Linked DNA regions of Caenorhabditis elegans. The protein of the gene in region 1 interacts with the protein of each later gene in a biochemical or structural test. Each region holds a gene or a part of one and is shown on either strand. Other genes may lie near its edges.

Region 1 (7,288 bases):
TCAATTGCGAAGCCGGACTTTCGAACGGGAGAAGTAATTTCTCAATTTGAAATTATTAAGAAACTCGGATCCGGAGGATTTGGTGCTGTGTATCAAGTTCGAAAGAATGGATTTGATATGGCGCTGAAGACTGAATTCGTGGATACAGAAAGTGATGACACGTTGAAAAATGAAGCTCATATTTTGAGATTACTGCAGTGGTCGCCTGGGTTTTGCCGTCTTTATACTGCTAAACGAGTGGGTTTAAAAGTAAAATTGAGCTTCACTGTTTGCCATTTTTCTAATTTCAGTTGACTTGGAACAAGCAACAAGTGAACATAATGGCTATGAGCCTGTGTGCTCGTCCAATTTCAAGACTTCGAAGAATGATGCCTGACAAGCATTTTTCTAAATCCACGGCTGCTCGACTTTCTGTTCAACTTTTGGAGGCACTTCGTGACATGCATGCTTCTGGAATCATTCATCGTGATGTGAAGGGAAGCAATTGTGGATGGCATGCATCGTCTAGAAGAATTCTTCTTTTTGATTTGGGATTCAGCCGAAAATATGTAAGGAATCAATTATTTTAAGAATTATATCTCGGTTGATTACATATTGTCTTTTTTTCATAGAACGATCTCCCTCTCTCTGAACACTAAAATGGTATCACTAGCAATCACAGATCGCGGTTTTTAGTCTGACCTTGTCTTCCGTGTATTTTGTAATATGAAAAACGGAATCACAGCGTTCTCAGACCGATCGTTTTACCGGCAGTAGAAAGTTATAATATAAGAAATACGGTATCTGAAACTGATTTTTTTCAGCTGGAACTAGACCCTTCTACTAACACAATGCGTCATCGAGCTGCTCGCAAAACACCAGGATTCATGGGCACCAGCAATTACTGTAGCACGTATGCACATGATGAATGTGATCAGGGAAGACGAGATGATTTGTGGGCGTGGCTTTACTCAACTGTTGAAATGTTCCTTGTAAGATTTTGATTGATTTTTTCTGTTTATAATCAAATAATATTTTCAGGGAAGCCTTCCATGGAATAACGAGGATAAAACAATTTTGGTTAGCAAGATGAAGAAAAAGATTGGCAAAAAATTATTTTTCAAATGTCCACGCGAGATTGCTCTTATGTATGAACATATTCGGTGAGTTATAATTTTTGGGAAACTTGATTTTCCAAATTTCGTCGGAATTTTTAGCCAACTTAAATTTGACTCAACTCCTGACTACCAAATGATGCTCAACCATTTCCAACAAATGTATGCCCGTCTTGAAATTGATGAATCTGAACCAATGGATTTTGAAGAAGGATCTGCGTTCTATGAAGAACATTTTCTAAACAATGATACGGATTCGGAAGAAGATACGGATGACACTACAACAGATTTGGATAGTTATGAAAATGAGAAATCAAATGTTGTCACAATTGGAACTGAAAGTGATGCCACTCAGGAAGATAAGAAATTGGGGAGGTACTGTTCAATTTGGTAAATGTCATTTTTAATGAGAATATTCAGTATTTCAGACTTGCCGCTGGACTCAATCGAGCATTCAGTCGTTTGATGCCATTTTAGGTTGGGAATATTTTAAATTTTACTTTTTCAGTTTTATTTTTCAGATTAATTTTACGATCGTCTTCTGTCGTCAACTTGTGTGATAAAAATCGATACTCGGGAATATTGAATTCATAGTTTTTTTACATTTTTTTTTTCATTCGAAAAACTTATTTAATGAAATGTGTAGAAATGAACAATGTCTATGATAAACAATGAAATTAATGTTTTAAAAGGAAGTTATGAAAGGCCCGTTGCTTTTGCATTTGCTTTAAATACACTTTCCATGCAGGCGCGAAATACTAACTGAAATGAGAAAAAAATTAATTTTTTTCTCAGTAATTTTCGCTTACCTTAACATTTTCCGTGTTTGTTGCTGTTGTGAAATGGGGGAATACTGATTTTTTCGAGCTAGCTGCTCGAATAAACTTTTCACAAATGTATTTACTCGTCTCTTCGTAAGTATTCTCTCCTGAAAATTGTTGTGTAAAACTAATTTTTTTTTGGAGCTTAAAAATTATTCAAGATTCGAAAAATTTAGAATTTGAGAAAAAGGCTGATACGGTTGACTTCACAATATTTACGATCACTTTCTCTATTTAGCTTGGTGACTAATAGTAAAAGAAAAATTGCAAAGTTGGTTCTTTCATTTTTATAAACAAAATTCGATGTCGTGCCCTGATTTTAATGCTTCTTACCGTCAAATTTGGAAAAGCAAGGCTGAAGATTGACCTGTGAAAGAATTTCTTTGAACAAGTCAACTTTGTTAAAAAATAATAAAAATACAGCGTTTGCCAATGCACTTGCTGCTGCAACTTCATTGAAAATCTTGAGTGCAACTTTCATATCATAGGCATTTGATCCAACGTCTCGAAAGAATTTTGGAAATCGACTTAGCTGTAAAAATATGATCAATTGGGAATTTTATGTCTAGACATTGTTTTTTTTAATTGAACTGATTGAGACTATACTCATGTTTTCCTTGAGTAATTGAAACTTTGAAAGTATAGTCTTTAGAACTGATTTAGTATTATTAGGTATTCTACCAGTCTGCTCCCAAGTCAGCAAAACGTGAATATAATTCACAAAATGCACACAAGGCTGGGCACAGGAAAAGAGAATGGAGGCAGCACAATCCACCTCGAATAGGAGGAAGAAGGTATATTTCTTATACTTTTATACACAATGAAAAACTGGCATGGGAAATTTTTACCGCCCAGAAAAACTGAATACAAATGTTACAATTCTCAATATCCAAGTTCTAGAAATTTTAAACTGAAAAGTTTCGAAGTATTTTACCTCCATTCGACTTTCTTCTGATCTTTTCGCATAACCTGTCAAATCAATCACAAAAAGTACAACCTTGGCATCATCAAACAAATGCAACCATTTCTTTCGTTCCGATCTTTGACCACCCACGTCAATCATTCTGAAATAAAAGAGGAAAAAATCTAAAATTTTCAGTTTCACTAGGATGTTGCTAAACCAGAAATTGTGTATGTTCAACAATAAAAATCGCTAAATGTATACTTCTCCACATCTCATTTAATGGTTTAAATTTATATTAAAAGCAAAAAAAGACTTACAGTAATGAGACTCCAGTGTATTCAAACACAATGCTGTTAATGCTCATCGTGGCTTTTCTTGAATGAACTATATCTTCCTGATTAGGTAAATATGTTGGGTCAGCTATTCGTGTAAGATTCTCCAAATAACTTAAATTTATATTATTACTTATCTGTAACTATACTATAATCACTCACTATTTAGTTGAATCCAATAACTCGAACTCGCATCTTCTCTTATAAATCTCCTGAATTTGTTTGGAATTCCAAAACTCTGTCAAAGGTTCCAAAAGTTCTGATATTGTCCGAACAGAAAATGCATCAGACATTGGAGCATAGATTTCATCAATTTCATATGTAATATGTTCAATTGGATCCAGAGGTATACCAACTACACGTGAACCAGCAATTAATTGTAGATATATATCCCTTATATTGTTATCAATAAGTCCTCTATATTGTATTAATTCTTGGTCGGTTTTGAACCCGTCGACGTGAATAATTCTGAGAAAAAAGATACGTTTAGATTGTGCGCATGTACATGCATCTTATTTTCAAAAGTCTTACAAAACATTTAAAATCTTTGCCAAACCCAGCCGTAACCCCAGGTTTCAAAACCCAGTCACGCATTGCAAACTTTCATTTATTTTAATGTGGTTCTGAAATTAAAAAAATGCAGCTATTGAGTACACCAGTTGATTTGAAATGTGCACAATCCTTCAGTGAGCTCAAATATGCACATCACAAAACCATCAATCGCAATGAGCACGTAACGACCGGCTGCAAGTCGTAATGTGGCCACTGTACCCGATCTCGTTGGCGTTGTGTGCACCATTAGTCCGCAATGTCAAAGCTGTGATCGAGCTCTTCCACGTGGTACTATTTACTTTACACCCGCATCTGCCATTCCCTTGCCTGACCGTCTTTAAAAAAATCATGTGAACGGCAATTTCACACAAGGCTGCAGGTGCAAGAAGGGAGAGAGTGAAGAAGCGGGTGAGATGCGACTCCAACATGCTTCGACATGGTAAAGTTCTCTATTTTTGCAGTATCAGATTTTTCATGATAACAAATTTTTTTTAACTTGAACAGCTCGTGAGTATAGTGGGAAATATTGAAAAAGTCAATAGGAATTCATTTTATTTTGCTGGTTGAATGCACATCTTCGAATATCATTACCAACTGCTAAAATCTTCCAAATTACATCTCAAACTTTTTTTTTTCATTCATGACTTTTGTTCTTTCTTACAACCTTCAACTCACTGCATTTGTTTAAAAATTGTACTCTTTCCACTTAAAGGTCCTCCAAGAATGAGTATTTTGATATGTGATCCATACGTTTTCTTTTCCAATGCTAATTCTTTTTCAATTTCCATATGCCCTCTTCTGAAACATAAAATGTACGTTAACGGCTCAAAATACAATACCAGACTGAAATATCAAAAAGTGGGATATTCACTTCTGATTTAGAAACACAAATCTTCAAGACAAATGCAAAAGCTACATGGCTTGTAAAACAAAAAAAAATTGTTTTTGAAAGTGTTCTGATTTACCTGGCAAGCTCTCTCAGTTTTGCTTCAAGCTCTTCAGAATGTGCATACAATTCGGTTCCTTCTCCATTTCGGCTGGGTACCATACACCTGAATTTTATAAGTTTCCGTACTAATAATAAAAATACAGTTGCATCTTAATCTACATTTTGGCTTATCAAAAATGTTTGACCTACCCGTCTGGTCCATGCATACATTGATAGCAATACGTGTAACTAAACTTGTCAAAACAACTAAACGCCATTAATAAATCTCAACTATAATGTCCTGAAATACGGCGAAAATGATATAAAGACCAACACAAAAATATTCACGGAAAATAGTATACGCGGAGGTGGATTGTGAAGAATGTGGGGGAAAAGTAAGAAGAAGGGCTCTTAAGTAACATGAAATTAATTAATACTCCAGAGATATAACCTACTCATATCATCCAGTTATACATATTATCAGTCATAAAACTGAAAAATAAGAGAGAACGAAAGATGGAAAATAGTAGTTGAGGATTGTGAAAAGAAGGAGGCGGAGAGCCGTGAAAAACGTTAATGAGCAGTTTCGAGCTCAACGCTCGAGAGACAAGAAATTTTGAAACGGAACTCGGGGAAATCGAGATAAATATTAAAATTTATGGTAGAAACAAAAGAATGATCATAATTTAAAATAACAACAAACAATATAAAAGATATAAATCGATATACTTTCAACAAAGTAGTATGACTGAAATTTTTACAAATTTATAGAGTGCAGGTTTTACAGTTTGTGAATTTTGAACGTTTTCCAATGCTTATGCACACCTAGCAAGTTCACCAGGTAAAACAGAGAAATGCTAATATTTGTTTCTATCAAAAACTATCATACTTCGAAATGAAAACTACAGAAATAACTTAAACTGATACATAGAGGTCTAATTGTCGATAAGTTTTGAGTTGATCAGACTTAAAAAATGAGTAGTTTGAACATCTGATTCTAAGAACTTAACGTTGAAATTTAAATTTTATCAAATAATTTTGGAAAAAAAATGGCGAGTTTCAGGCTAGTTTGCCGTAAAGTACAGCTTCGAAATACTCCCAAAAAATACTCCCAAAATCATGCAACTTTTAATGGGGAATATGCAGCAGAAATTCGAAAATTTACTTAAAAAATTTGAAGACCAGTATCATTTTTATTTTCTGAAAGTGCATAAAACACAACTCTGTTACTCTCCGTGAGTAATTCCACCTATTTTCAAGCCACCATTCTGTATCTCATTCTCGTTTTCTCTACATCCAATTGGCAATTTTCCAATTTCTTTGCGTCACTCAATTATGTTCTCGCCAAATGGAGACATAGAGGGGTGTTGTGTTTTTGGGATTGGAAACAGAAATATTCTGAAAAATGAGAGAAAGATGTGAAAGAAAAATTGGAAAGAAATTGCGAGATTTATAGAACGATCAGAAAAGTTAGTGTGAAGTGTTTAAAGAAACAAACATTGTTTATAGTATGGATAAGGCTACAAGTTAATTTATAGGAAATGTATATAATAATTGCAACTTGTATGAACCAAAAATCCAAACTCTGAGTTTTTGTGATTTGATTTTCAATTGAATTGTAATTTTTTAGAAAAAGTTTTATGAGAAAAGTGAGATATCTAAAGTGATAAATGTTTTTGATAGACCTCTACTCAAATATGGATCAGCGTAGAAATCAATTTCAAAACAAAAAATCTGCCCTACAAAAAGTATTATTGTGTTTTTCTAGAAATCATGGTCTTCAATAAATTTCGCTTTGGATTATTTCTACAGACTTTGAAATAAGCAAATATAAAAAGTAAAAAAAAACACCAAGGAAAGAAAACTCACCTTCGATTTTTTTCGCGGGCGTGTCATAAAAACTCTGTTTTGTAACCGTAATCCAATTATTATTCGGAAATAAAAAAATTCTCGGCAGTTCAGAATAGGCAAACAAAGTAAAAAATTGATTTTTTAAAAAAAAGTTTTTAATGAAAAATAACTTTTAAAAGTTTCAATTCAGCCAAAGTTGGTACATGCCTATTTGTTGAAATAATAAAAATTGAAAAAAAAATCTTATTGTTAATAGAAAAAAAAAAATATTGCACCTGTTAAATGAAAAGAAGCGGAGAAATATGAAAGCGAGATGAATGTCTTAACTAGACAAGGAAAACGACAAAATATGCTGATATGTGGTGTGAGTATTCTTTGGAGCGGAAGGAAGAAAAGAAGAAGAAGACGAAGAGAGGAATAAAAATTAAAAGTTCAAATAATCATTTACTCGAAGATAGTTATTATTTCGTACATCTTGTATAATGAGAAAAAAGAAAAGTACAAAAAAATTCAGAAAATGAAACACCAAAAAAAAAGGCAAGATATGGGAGGAGCATATTTTAAGAAAATACTTATTATCAAAATTGTTTTTCTAACAATTGTGTGATGCATGTATTAGACTCCGCCCATATCTTGGTTATGTATCGTGTTTTTGCATGTTCGTACTTGACTTCTACATAGTTCCAAATACGAATAAACGCAGAAACCAACACATAAAAAAATCATTTTTTGTTGAAAATAACCGTGACTCAAGAAGTTTCAGGTAAGAAGAGTGTTAGGAGATCGATGATTGTCGATTCGGCAGC
Region 2 (9,573 bases), on another chromosome or scaffold:
GAAATATTGTTTTCAATAGGAATAATTTGTTTTTTGAACTGTTGTTTTCCTCTAGAAATCAGGGTTCTACAATTTTGCTGTGCACTTTTGTATTGACCTCTGGAAATCGCTGCAACCTTTGGGTTTGAAATGTAGATGTCATCAACCTATCGTAGTAAACTTTCGTGACATAAAATGGCCAAAACCACTATTTTCAAAGCTGCGACGATGCTCTTTGTTACCCGTGTGTTATTGGTGTAGCCTCTAAATTATTCGGGTTTTATACTCCGACTAAACCCAAATTAATCAGGTTAACGTCTTAATTATTGTTTGATTGAAGCTCTTTAAGTGGAGGTAGATTTCAATGGGAAAAATTAAAATATTTATTTTGTACATATCAGACAAAATTCCTAACTTTTGGCACATCGTTTCAGTTTTAAATTAAGAGATCATAAACATCAGTTGACCCGAACACCCAAAAAACCCATGGAAAATTGAAAAAAAGTTATATTAGACATGCGCCTGCTTGTTACTGAAATGGTGGCGTGTTGAATTTCGGCCGAATATAATTGATTTGAAAGCACGACGGAATTCCGTGTTGAAGATTGTATAGATAATGGGATTCATGAATGAATTCATGTAACCAATCCACGTACAATAGAAGAAGAGATCATAGCCAACCTGAGAAATTCAGAAATATGAATTAAGAATCAAGAGAAAAGCTCATTTACCTGACACGAATCTTTATTGAGCAAAATGCAAACTGCATTCAAAATATTAATAACAAAGAATGGAACCCAGCACACAAGAAATACTCCAACAACAACACCCAATGTCTTTGTGGCTCGTTTCTCTTTACGTTGTGCTTTTGAGACCTGGAAATTGTGTGTTTAAACCCCTTTTTCACTAAAAAGTTGGAATGTCTTTCTGAATAAAGTGAAATCCGCCTACCTTCCTCTTCAAACTATGCTCATGCTTGATAGCCCTCTTGACCAACTTGACAGCAATCCCATTTCGATTGCTTTTCTTTGAGCCTTTCGAGTCGACGGACCTTAAGCTATCGGCACGTGTTTTTGATGAGCATGTAGTGCCAATTGAATCCATTCGTTGGAGGTCAAGATCTGCAAAGTACGGAAGTGTTTCAAAAAACATTTTTTGATGTAATAAAAAAACATATTTTGATGTAAAAAAGAATTTCAAAAACTTACGTGGTAAACTGGGTCTTGTTAATATTTGAATGGCCAAGGGAGGATCAACTTGCGAAACACGTCGACTCGATTCAACACTGCATCCTTTTAAATTATTCAAAGCATTTCCTTCCATTTCTCTAACTGTTAATGCAAAACTAACAGTCGGTTGCATAAAACATCCTTCTCTTGTTTCAGCTAATACATCTTCTAAAACTGTTTCAGTAATCAACGCTGGAAACTTTTCAAAATCATCTGGTGATCCAAGTAGTTCTGCGCCTGAAAAACAAATAAATTTTCTTCAAAATTCTTTATAATTCTCACTATTTGCCGTCGTACTTCTGCTAATTGTCGTAGTGGGAAGATTTTCAATATCTCGTGATGCAGAAATAGTTTCAGTTTCAGTTTGTGAATTTGTTGGATGAATTGGCATTGATACTCGTCGGTATTCCTTTGGAGGTTCAGTTATTGGATTGGCTAATATCATCGAATGTTTTTTAATATCAGTCTTATCTCTTCGGAATAAACGGGGACTTTTTCTAGAGATTGTTCGAATAATTGCAGGAATCAATGCATCATCTGATTGATTTGTTCTGCAAACAGAATTTCATTAAATTTTCAAACAAACTCTATACTTACATTGATGCTGTTCTTGAATTATTTCTAGAATTGCCTCTATTCACTTTCACTACTTTTCTATGATGTTTTGTTGAATAGTTTCTTGACAAATTTCTAAATCTTTTTTGTCCTTTGATACTGTAACTTCGACCATCTCCGGATGAAGTTTGAGACGATGTTGGTTGGGAGTCGTCAGCATATGACGATCTTCTGAAAAAATTAATCAGTAAATATGGGAAGAAACATATGTTATACTTCAGTCAAAAATAATACATTTTCAGACAACAAAAGTTCAACAGCTATTGTGAAAAATAGGTTTAAAAGTTGAAAAACTAAACCACTTTCACTTCTCGTGTAATTATTCTCATGTATTTATTGCAAATTCGCTACTACGTAGTTTTTACCGTAATTTTGCAGTATTTTATGGTGTTTCCAAAAGCGCGTGGTTTTTTAGGGGTCGCCACAAGAAAGTTAGTTATTAAAAGTACTAATAACCCTGAAAAAAATTCGAAAAAAGATATTCTGGAATAAATTGCATTCTAGTGGCATATTTTCACATTTTTACAAAATTTTTACGAAAATAGTAGCAATCGATGCGCAATTTAGTGTCCATTTGAGACGAAATTTAAAATATTCGTAAAATTTTCAATGCATACCTTGAAAATGTGGTGCAATTCTCCGACACAAAATCATTTGTAATCACGTTGACATTTTCCGAAAGTGATTCAAGACTTGATCGTGGTGTCGAACTATTTCCAAATTCTCTTTCATCTGAAACCAAACTGTGTTGAATATTTTCAAGGAATACAATATATAAATCATGCTCAACGCAATTCCCAAATGCTCAAGCTGAGTTAACTTTCGTGCTAGTTTTCACTGCAAACATTTTTATTTTCCAAATAAATATCCATATTTCATTTTTTATCTATAATGAATCATGCAACTAACGTTCTGCAAGCTTGAGGTGATAGTGAGTGAGAAGCTGGAAAATGAAAGAACATAAGAAATCAGTGAAAGTGGTAGAAGCGTGTTGTGCAATAGTCTGTGCAGAAATGAGGAAACGGTGCTGTTGATAGTACATGTGAATATATGAATTCCGACATACTCAGGAGCATAGGAAGTGGTAGATCACCGGATGCCTTCGGTATTGCAGAAGTAGTAGTAGTTGTACGAGCACACGAAGAAGAAGACGGAGAGGTGGTGGAAATATTTTGGGCGAAGAAGGCAGGCATGCCGGACGCTGAAGCAACACTCTGCGCAGTCGAGTTTGCTGTTCCGACAGACGCTGCGTTTATGATCCTTCGGAGCATGGAAGTGGTACGAGGTGCCGATGCCTCAACGACGCCCTGTCCATTATCAGCATGATAATCATCATCATCGTCACCGGCATCGTCACCCCCACAACACTCATCCATAACGTCCAGCTCATCTTCCTCCCATTCTTCATCACCTGCGAGTTCAATTGCGCGACGATGTCGTTCGAATTGTCTCATCCGACGAGTCATTGATGGTAGAGCAGCCATCATGACATTCACCACTGGAAACGACGAAACACGTGTAGGGAAAGTATAATTTTAGAGGAAAGACTAGAACTTAAATTAGCTCGAGCTGATGTAGGATTGAAAAATGAACGACTTTCAACGGAAATTAAAAAATGTCTAGGGAATTTGGGAAAATCGTATCAAAACTGAGCTATATTAGGGGAAGGTATAAGTTTCCAAGTTGTGTGTCTCAAAACTTTTCAATTCGTCTTGTAGTTAATGTTGGAAATTGTGCATATGTGTTAAAGTTTTCATTCTAAACTGCTAAAATTTAAAAAATAGGTGGAAGGAGAGAAGTAAAATTGAAAAAAAAAGAACGTGAGAAAGACATTGAAATATAATATTTAAAGCTTTAATCTGAAACTAATAGAAAAGAAGAAAAATCACAGAAACTGTTTTCGCTGCTGCACAAAAAGCTACGATAAGATTACTGTAAGCAAAAAGGTTAAATCAGTAAATAAATTATGTTATACGACTCAAGAGAAAAATTCACTTCACTTCTCTATGAAATTTCTATGAATCTTAAAAAAGTATCAAAGCCTAGTCAATTTTTGTGCGCTCATCTGAATGCAATCTTACAAAAACTTGAAAACTAACCTGGTCCAGCAACAATACGCCCTGCAGCTTCTTCGTCAACTTGCTCTTCGCCTGTATCAGGCCTCATTCTGTAATTTCAATATTTTCAAATATTGTAAACAAATAAATCTTACGTTAAACCGTGCGCAATTGTGTTCTTCTCTCTCCTCATTTTAGCTGCCTTTTCTCGTTTTTTTAGAGCAATTATAATTCGAATATAGACGAAAAGTACTGAAACGGGGAAGCTATTTTAATAAACCATTTTTGGCTTTTCAATTTACCTAGAAAACAAGGAATAACAAACGAGATCATAGAACTGAGGATCGAAAACTCAGCATTGTAGAATCGACACTCGTATGGGTTAGCATCTGGTGGACGAACGTTTACTCCTTCAATTCAGAAGAGTTTGATTTTTTTTAAAAGGATATATGTATGAAACTAACCAAAAACCATTGGACTGGCTAATGTTAGGCTGACCAACCATATAACAGCTATCAATGTCCATACCCGTTTCACATTTTGTGACTGTCTTGAATACTGAATTGGTAAAGAGACTGCACGGTATCTGAAATAATTGAACAGTTCAGTTTTTTGTAGAAAACTGTGCATTTTTATTTTAGCAAAATACTTAGATTTATGCTCTTAACATTTTTCCCACGATCTTTGCTGTTCCCCGTCATATTCTGAATGCAAAAAATGAGTACAAAGAAAAAATGGTTGGTTGAATAACAGCCACACGTTCATTTTCTATTCAGATGACTCGAAACTCCCGACTCACCGATCGAATGAAATTACGGCAAGAAGAAGAATAGAAGCTGTGCTACAGCACACATCAGATGCCATGTAAATGTCACACATTAGATTTCCTAGATACCAGTCGCCGTTGGTGACCTGCAAATTAGGGAAAATTAATGGACAGTTGAAAAAACGAATAACGTATATTCTTTACTTCTGTACACCATTGCTTTGACTACTTTCGGTTATCTTTTCTTTTATTAAAAATTGTCAAATGAATAAATCATTTTGAATTCTTTTTCTATAGTTTTGTAGAACAGTAATTTTTGATATCTTCAAAATAAACCGAGATATACCTTTCCAAAATGGAATAGTGCGATGCAGCACTAAAATAGAATATATGGTATTTTTAGTTTTTGTACTACAATAGTAATTATGGTGTTCATTTATACTGTCGATGGAAATTTCCCAACTGAAACACAATTTCAAAGTCTATTATTCAATTGCTTTTTTCTGCAGAATCTGATACGCATTACCCTAATTCTCCATTATTCTTCACTCCTGACGCTTTCTCTAATCTACCGGAAAAAAAGGAAAAGCCTTCGTGGTTGGAAGGATCTAGGAAGCAATAAATACGGCTTTCCGTGCATCTAATTTGACACTTTTCACACCACGTTCTTTCCCCTTTTCCACCCCACTGGGCTTCATTTCCACGTCACACACACACACGCACACGCTCCTTGTACCATCCATCATCATGCCCCTTTTTCTATTCTTTTTAAGTCAAGTCAGTTTGCAGAGTTCTGTTTCAACGGGAAAACCTACGGAACTTAACAAAGAAGTATCGTTTGGCACTCTGTCCATCAATAGAGTTATGTGATAGCTGTCAGGGGATTACATCAACCAGCTTCATGTCTTGTCTCTTCTCTTTGATGTTCTTTTCTTTTTCATTTTCAACGTGTTCTAGTACTATTTATAAATGCAACGAGACTTTCAACGTTTGCAACTAGTTAGCTAGTTACCAAAACTTATGACGTGGCAACCGTCAGAAAACAACCATAAATCTGTGTGAGCAAAGCTCGGGAGCTCTTGTGAGAGACACTCAACAAATTACTGCTCTTGGTCGCTGATGTCTCTTTTCTCGTTTTTTCTCAACCTCGGTTTCCCTTGTTAGGCAAAGAGAGAGAGAGAGAGGTGGAACAGCACGTCACTTCAGGAAAACGCAGATTGGGAGCCTATGCTGCTATGGAGAGCTGTTGCTGTGGTTGCCAACAAAAGACATATAATTGATCACTTACATATACATAAACCGCGTATGGCATAACTATGATGGCCACCAAAAGATCCGCCACAGCCAGGCCTAGGATAAGGAAATTGATGGCTGATTGCAGTGCTCGGTACCGGAGTACTGATATTATTACCTGAAAAGAAAATATACTTTTTTATTATTATTTTGGAACGTGCTTTGGAGTTTGAAATTGAACCAAATGTACAATAAATGTGAGGAACTGAGTTTCACACGAACATCTATAAGACATTGCTCCAGAATCGCAAGGAATCGTTCTTTGTTCACAAATTTTGAATAATATTTTGATACCGTTTCGAAGATAATTTAAGAAGTATCTTGGCATATTGATTTTAAATGTCAGACGAACTGAGGCACAAAAGAACTCGTTGTTTGATGTTTCGATTTTTTGAAAAAAAAAAAGTTTTCTGATTTCTCCCTAATTTCTGGGTTTTGAGACAAAATTTTTTTTTCTTCTTTGATAATTTTAGACTATCAAGATACATTTCTTATTTTTCAAGATTTCATTCTTATCAAAAACATCAACAAGTAGTTTTATCTGTAACATTACACAGTTGTATATATTTTTTAACTGACAATTGAACTCTAACTAACCAGAAGGTTTCCAAGTAGCGTGATGAGTGGAATAACAATAAGAGAAAGTCCAGCGTAGTTCAAAGGAATTCCACTTCCGACTATCGTTGATGGTGTTTGTGTGATTGTTGAAAGATCAAGAGAGGGTGGAGGCCATTCAAGGGAGACATTCCATGTCTCTCCGGCCTCCATTTTTTGGAGTTGGATCACCTTAAAACAGTTTTTTATTACATTTTTTAAGCCAACAAGACGGTTTGAAGAAGGTAAAAACAAAGGTGTTCCAAGGATTAATGCTAAAATGTAAAGAACAAAAATTTTCAAGTGTTTTTTTGCTGTAAGTAGTTCTACAAATGGTCCTACTTTCTGAAACGTAATAGATTTTAGTTTCTCAGAATGTTTTAAAACTAAAAAAGGCACGGAACACTTCAAAAATGGAATTGAATTTTGAAGTTTTTTAGACTCGATAACAGAAAGAATCTGAAGAGTTAGAAAAATATAATTTGCTTGGAAAGTTCTAAGTGTTTCGCTCAAAGTTTGAAATTCTTTACCAATGCTCAGATGACTGTCAACGTAATGTATTTGATACATCAATACTAAACATTGAAAAACATCATTATTCTCTCTTAAAGTAAAATCTTTAAAAATATTTAAAATTTCTAACACAAAGCACACATTAAGCTTACTCTTAATCCTAAATCAGTGATCAACAAATAATAAAATTAAGTTGGGAAGTCACACAAAATGTGAAATTTAGCTACGAAAAAAAGTTGTCATTGTGGAAATTACAAAAGTTGTACATAGACTTTCAGCACATTAACCAACACGAACAATTGTATTTCTGTCATGAATATTTTGGAAGACCTTCAAACATTTAAAAAAAAATAGTTTTTGAGGTTATTGCAGCCCAAAAATCACCAATAAGAAAAAAAAATTAAAAGTGCAGGTCTGGCAATGATGGGGTTCATGTCTCCAAATCTATCAAGAAAGAGAAGAAATCCAGGAGGCACGTCTCTGGTAGCCCAGATGATTTCTTTCACATCAATTGAATATTCAATTTTTGAATCTCGGGGGGTAAGGGTCCAACGATGAGTTGTCTTTTGAAAATAGGCAAGGAAGTAAAGAGCAAAGTGCGAGATGTCTAATGACAAAAATAAGGAATAAAGTTAAGGTCATTGAATGTTTTTCTTCTGTCAAGACTGAACAATAGTTTATTTGTGAACTATTAAAAGTGGCCCTAGACTGAGCAGAAACCTTCAGAAGCCAGTTGAATTTTAGACGGAAGGAAAGTATGAATATCTTTTCCACATCTCTTCTTTACTAAATAAAGAAAAAACGAAGAGTAAAGGGGCGGAGAAAATGCGGTCCCCAAGACATAAACGAACTTTGAGATGGGCGGAGGACAGGCGTAGAGATGTAGAAGTAGCAGAAGAAGAAGCCTTGGGGTGGAGTTGACACAAAAAAATGCACATAAATTGCGAGCCGTTCCTCCTGTTTTGGCTATTTTTCTAAATTGGGTGTTACTTTTTCGGACCTCTAGTGTAAAAAAGCAAGATCAAATTTATATGAAAACAGAAAAAAGCCAAAGTGTAAAGGTTTTTTTTTTAATCTAGTGCACGGATCAAACAAAAATATGGGGTTTCTTGAAAGAAATGTTAGAAACATCGAAAACACTTTAAAAACTGAAATTTGTTTCATACAACCGTGAGTTAACAAGTTAATGAAACCTACGTCAATGCTTAGATAGTTCTCATAAAAATTTTGACAATTAGGCAACGAAGCTGTATAGTTGGAAGTAACTAGAGAATACTAATAGGGAGCTAAACTAATTTAACTCTAAATTAGTAACCACAAAGTTGTATCGGAGATTTTTGTCTATGGTCAGGAAGCTTATTCAATCTACGAAATTATATACAAAACTGTATGTTTCAAAATGAAATGTATTCTTTCCAGTTGACAAGTATTTTATTCTTCTAAATAAATTTCGACAACCTATAACAATTGTCATCATCATGATTATGGCAAGCATTTATAAGTTACTACCACGCAAATCTAAAGTCATACCTCAAAAGCAGCGTAATGAAATTTATATATCGGTGACTTATAAAATCACAAAAATAATTTCGCAGAATACTATTATTTGGAATAAGTTTTTAAACATATTTTACAGAATTCGTCTAACGTGCTCATTCGGTGAATACTTTAATTGAATTGTCACTGATAATTATTAATCACGAGTAAAAAAATGGCATTAACAGTTTACCACATGTGGTCTAATTGTCCCTTCTTTGTTTGATCTCCTGAAATTCTGATAAAGTTTAGTTATGGGAAAATATAACGCCACACACGTTTTAGTGTAAATAAAATAATAAATTATCACCATATAGAACAATATCAGGAGATCACAGTGTTTGAGAATACTGTGGCTACTCGTAGTTTAATTGTTTTGTTTTAAAAGATGTTTTATGATAAAAGTGTATTGGCGAGATTCTTTTTTAGTTTTTGAATAATAACATACAAATATCAATTTTGGTCAATTTTCACAACAAAAACAACGGCAAAATAAAAAAGAAAAATTTAAACAAAGTTTTTATTGAAATTAGTGAACTTACTGTCAGTACAAATATTGCAAAATTTTAACTGTTGTTAATATCAAACTTTATAGTAATTTTACGAATCCTTGAAAAAGGTTTTGATGGATGATTCAGCATTACCAAAAATACCTTCAGGAACTGATTTTTCCATCGGTCTTTTACTATTTGACTCATTATTAGCTTTAATCTCTAGTAGATAAATAATGAAAATACTGGAATATATTAAAAATTCCTAGACAAGCCCAACAATGAATTGATTTTTAGCTTAAACTTGCAAATTACGGGCACTTTGGAACCAGTGCGAAAAAAAGTTTCCCGGAAGAACATACATGTGTTGATGATAGAATGAATGGAAATAAAGAAACGGAATACACATCCACAACACAAAACAAATCTAGTCCCCCATTCACATACATGTAAATCTCACACTACTCCACTGGGTGCTCCGCCACTCATCAATTATCAAT

What was found. Proteins that work in one complex are often made in the same cells at the same time.
Region 2: the proteins of gpa-14 (region 1) and dop-2 form a complex in vitro, tested with the Caenorhabditis elegans proteins (one study listed by BioGRID).

Annotation. Positions count from the first base shown.
Region 1 is NC_003279.8:5,940,040-5,947,327, reverse strand, and holds gpa-14 (Guanine nucleotide-binding protein alpha-14 subunit), read right to left. Parts: upstream 4,939-7,288; 5' UTR 4,910-4,938; coding exon 4,842-4,909; intron 4,756-4,841; coding exon 4,669-4,755; intron 4,502-4,668; coding exon 4,379-4,501; intron 3,620-4,378; coding exon 3,314-3,619; intron 3,266-3,313; coding exon 3,137-3,265; intron 2,980-3,136; coding exon 2,850-2,979; intron 2,448-2,849; coding exon 2,249-2,447; intron 2,023-2,248; coding exon 1,904-2,022; intron 1,857-1,903; coding exon 1,791-1,856; 3' UTR 1,677-1,790; downstream 1-1,676. Other genes in the region: B0207.7 (Protein kinase domain-containing protein), read left to right, coding at 1-237, 291-548, 804-971, 1,021-1,142, 1,197-1,469, 1,523-1,571. UniProt on the Caenorhabditis elegans protein: Guanine nucleotide-binding proteins (G proteins) are involved as modulators or transducers in various transmembrane signaling systems.
Region 2 is NC_003283.11:9,605,714-9,615,286, reverse strand, and holds dop-2 (Dopamine receptor 2), read right to left. Parts: upstream 6,732-9,573; 5' UTR 6,708-6,731; coding exon 6,537-6,707; intron 6,058-6,536; coding exon 5,935-6,057; intron 5,881-5,934; exon of another isoform or gene 5,672-5,880; intron 4,793-5,671; coding exon 4,680-4,792; intron 4,467-4,679; coding exon 4,345-4,466; intron 4,291-4,344; coding exon 4,183-4,290; intron 4,133-4,182; coding exon 4,036-4,132; intron 3,991-4,035; coding exon 3,923-3,990; intron 3,322-3,922; coding exon 2,890-3,321; intron 2,556-2,889; coding exon 2,441-2,555; intron 1,995-2,440; coding exon 1,806-1,994; intron 1,760-1,805; coding exon 1,491-1,759; intron 1,446-1,490; coding exon 1,188-1,445; intron 1,101-1,187; coding exon 931-1,100; intron 855-930; coding exon 711-854; intron 661-710; coding exon 490-660; 3' UTR 350-489; downstream 1-349. UniProt on the Caenorhabditis elegans protein: G-protein coupled receptor which binds to the neurotransmitter dopamine with high affinity leading to the activation of an associated G-protein and downstream signaling pathways.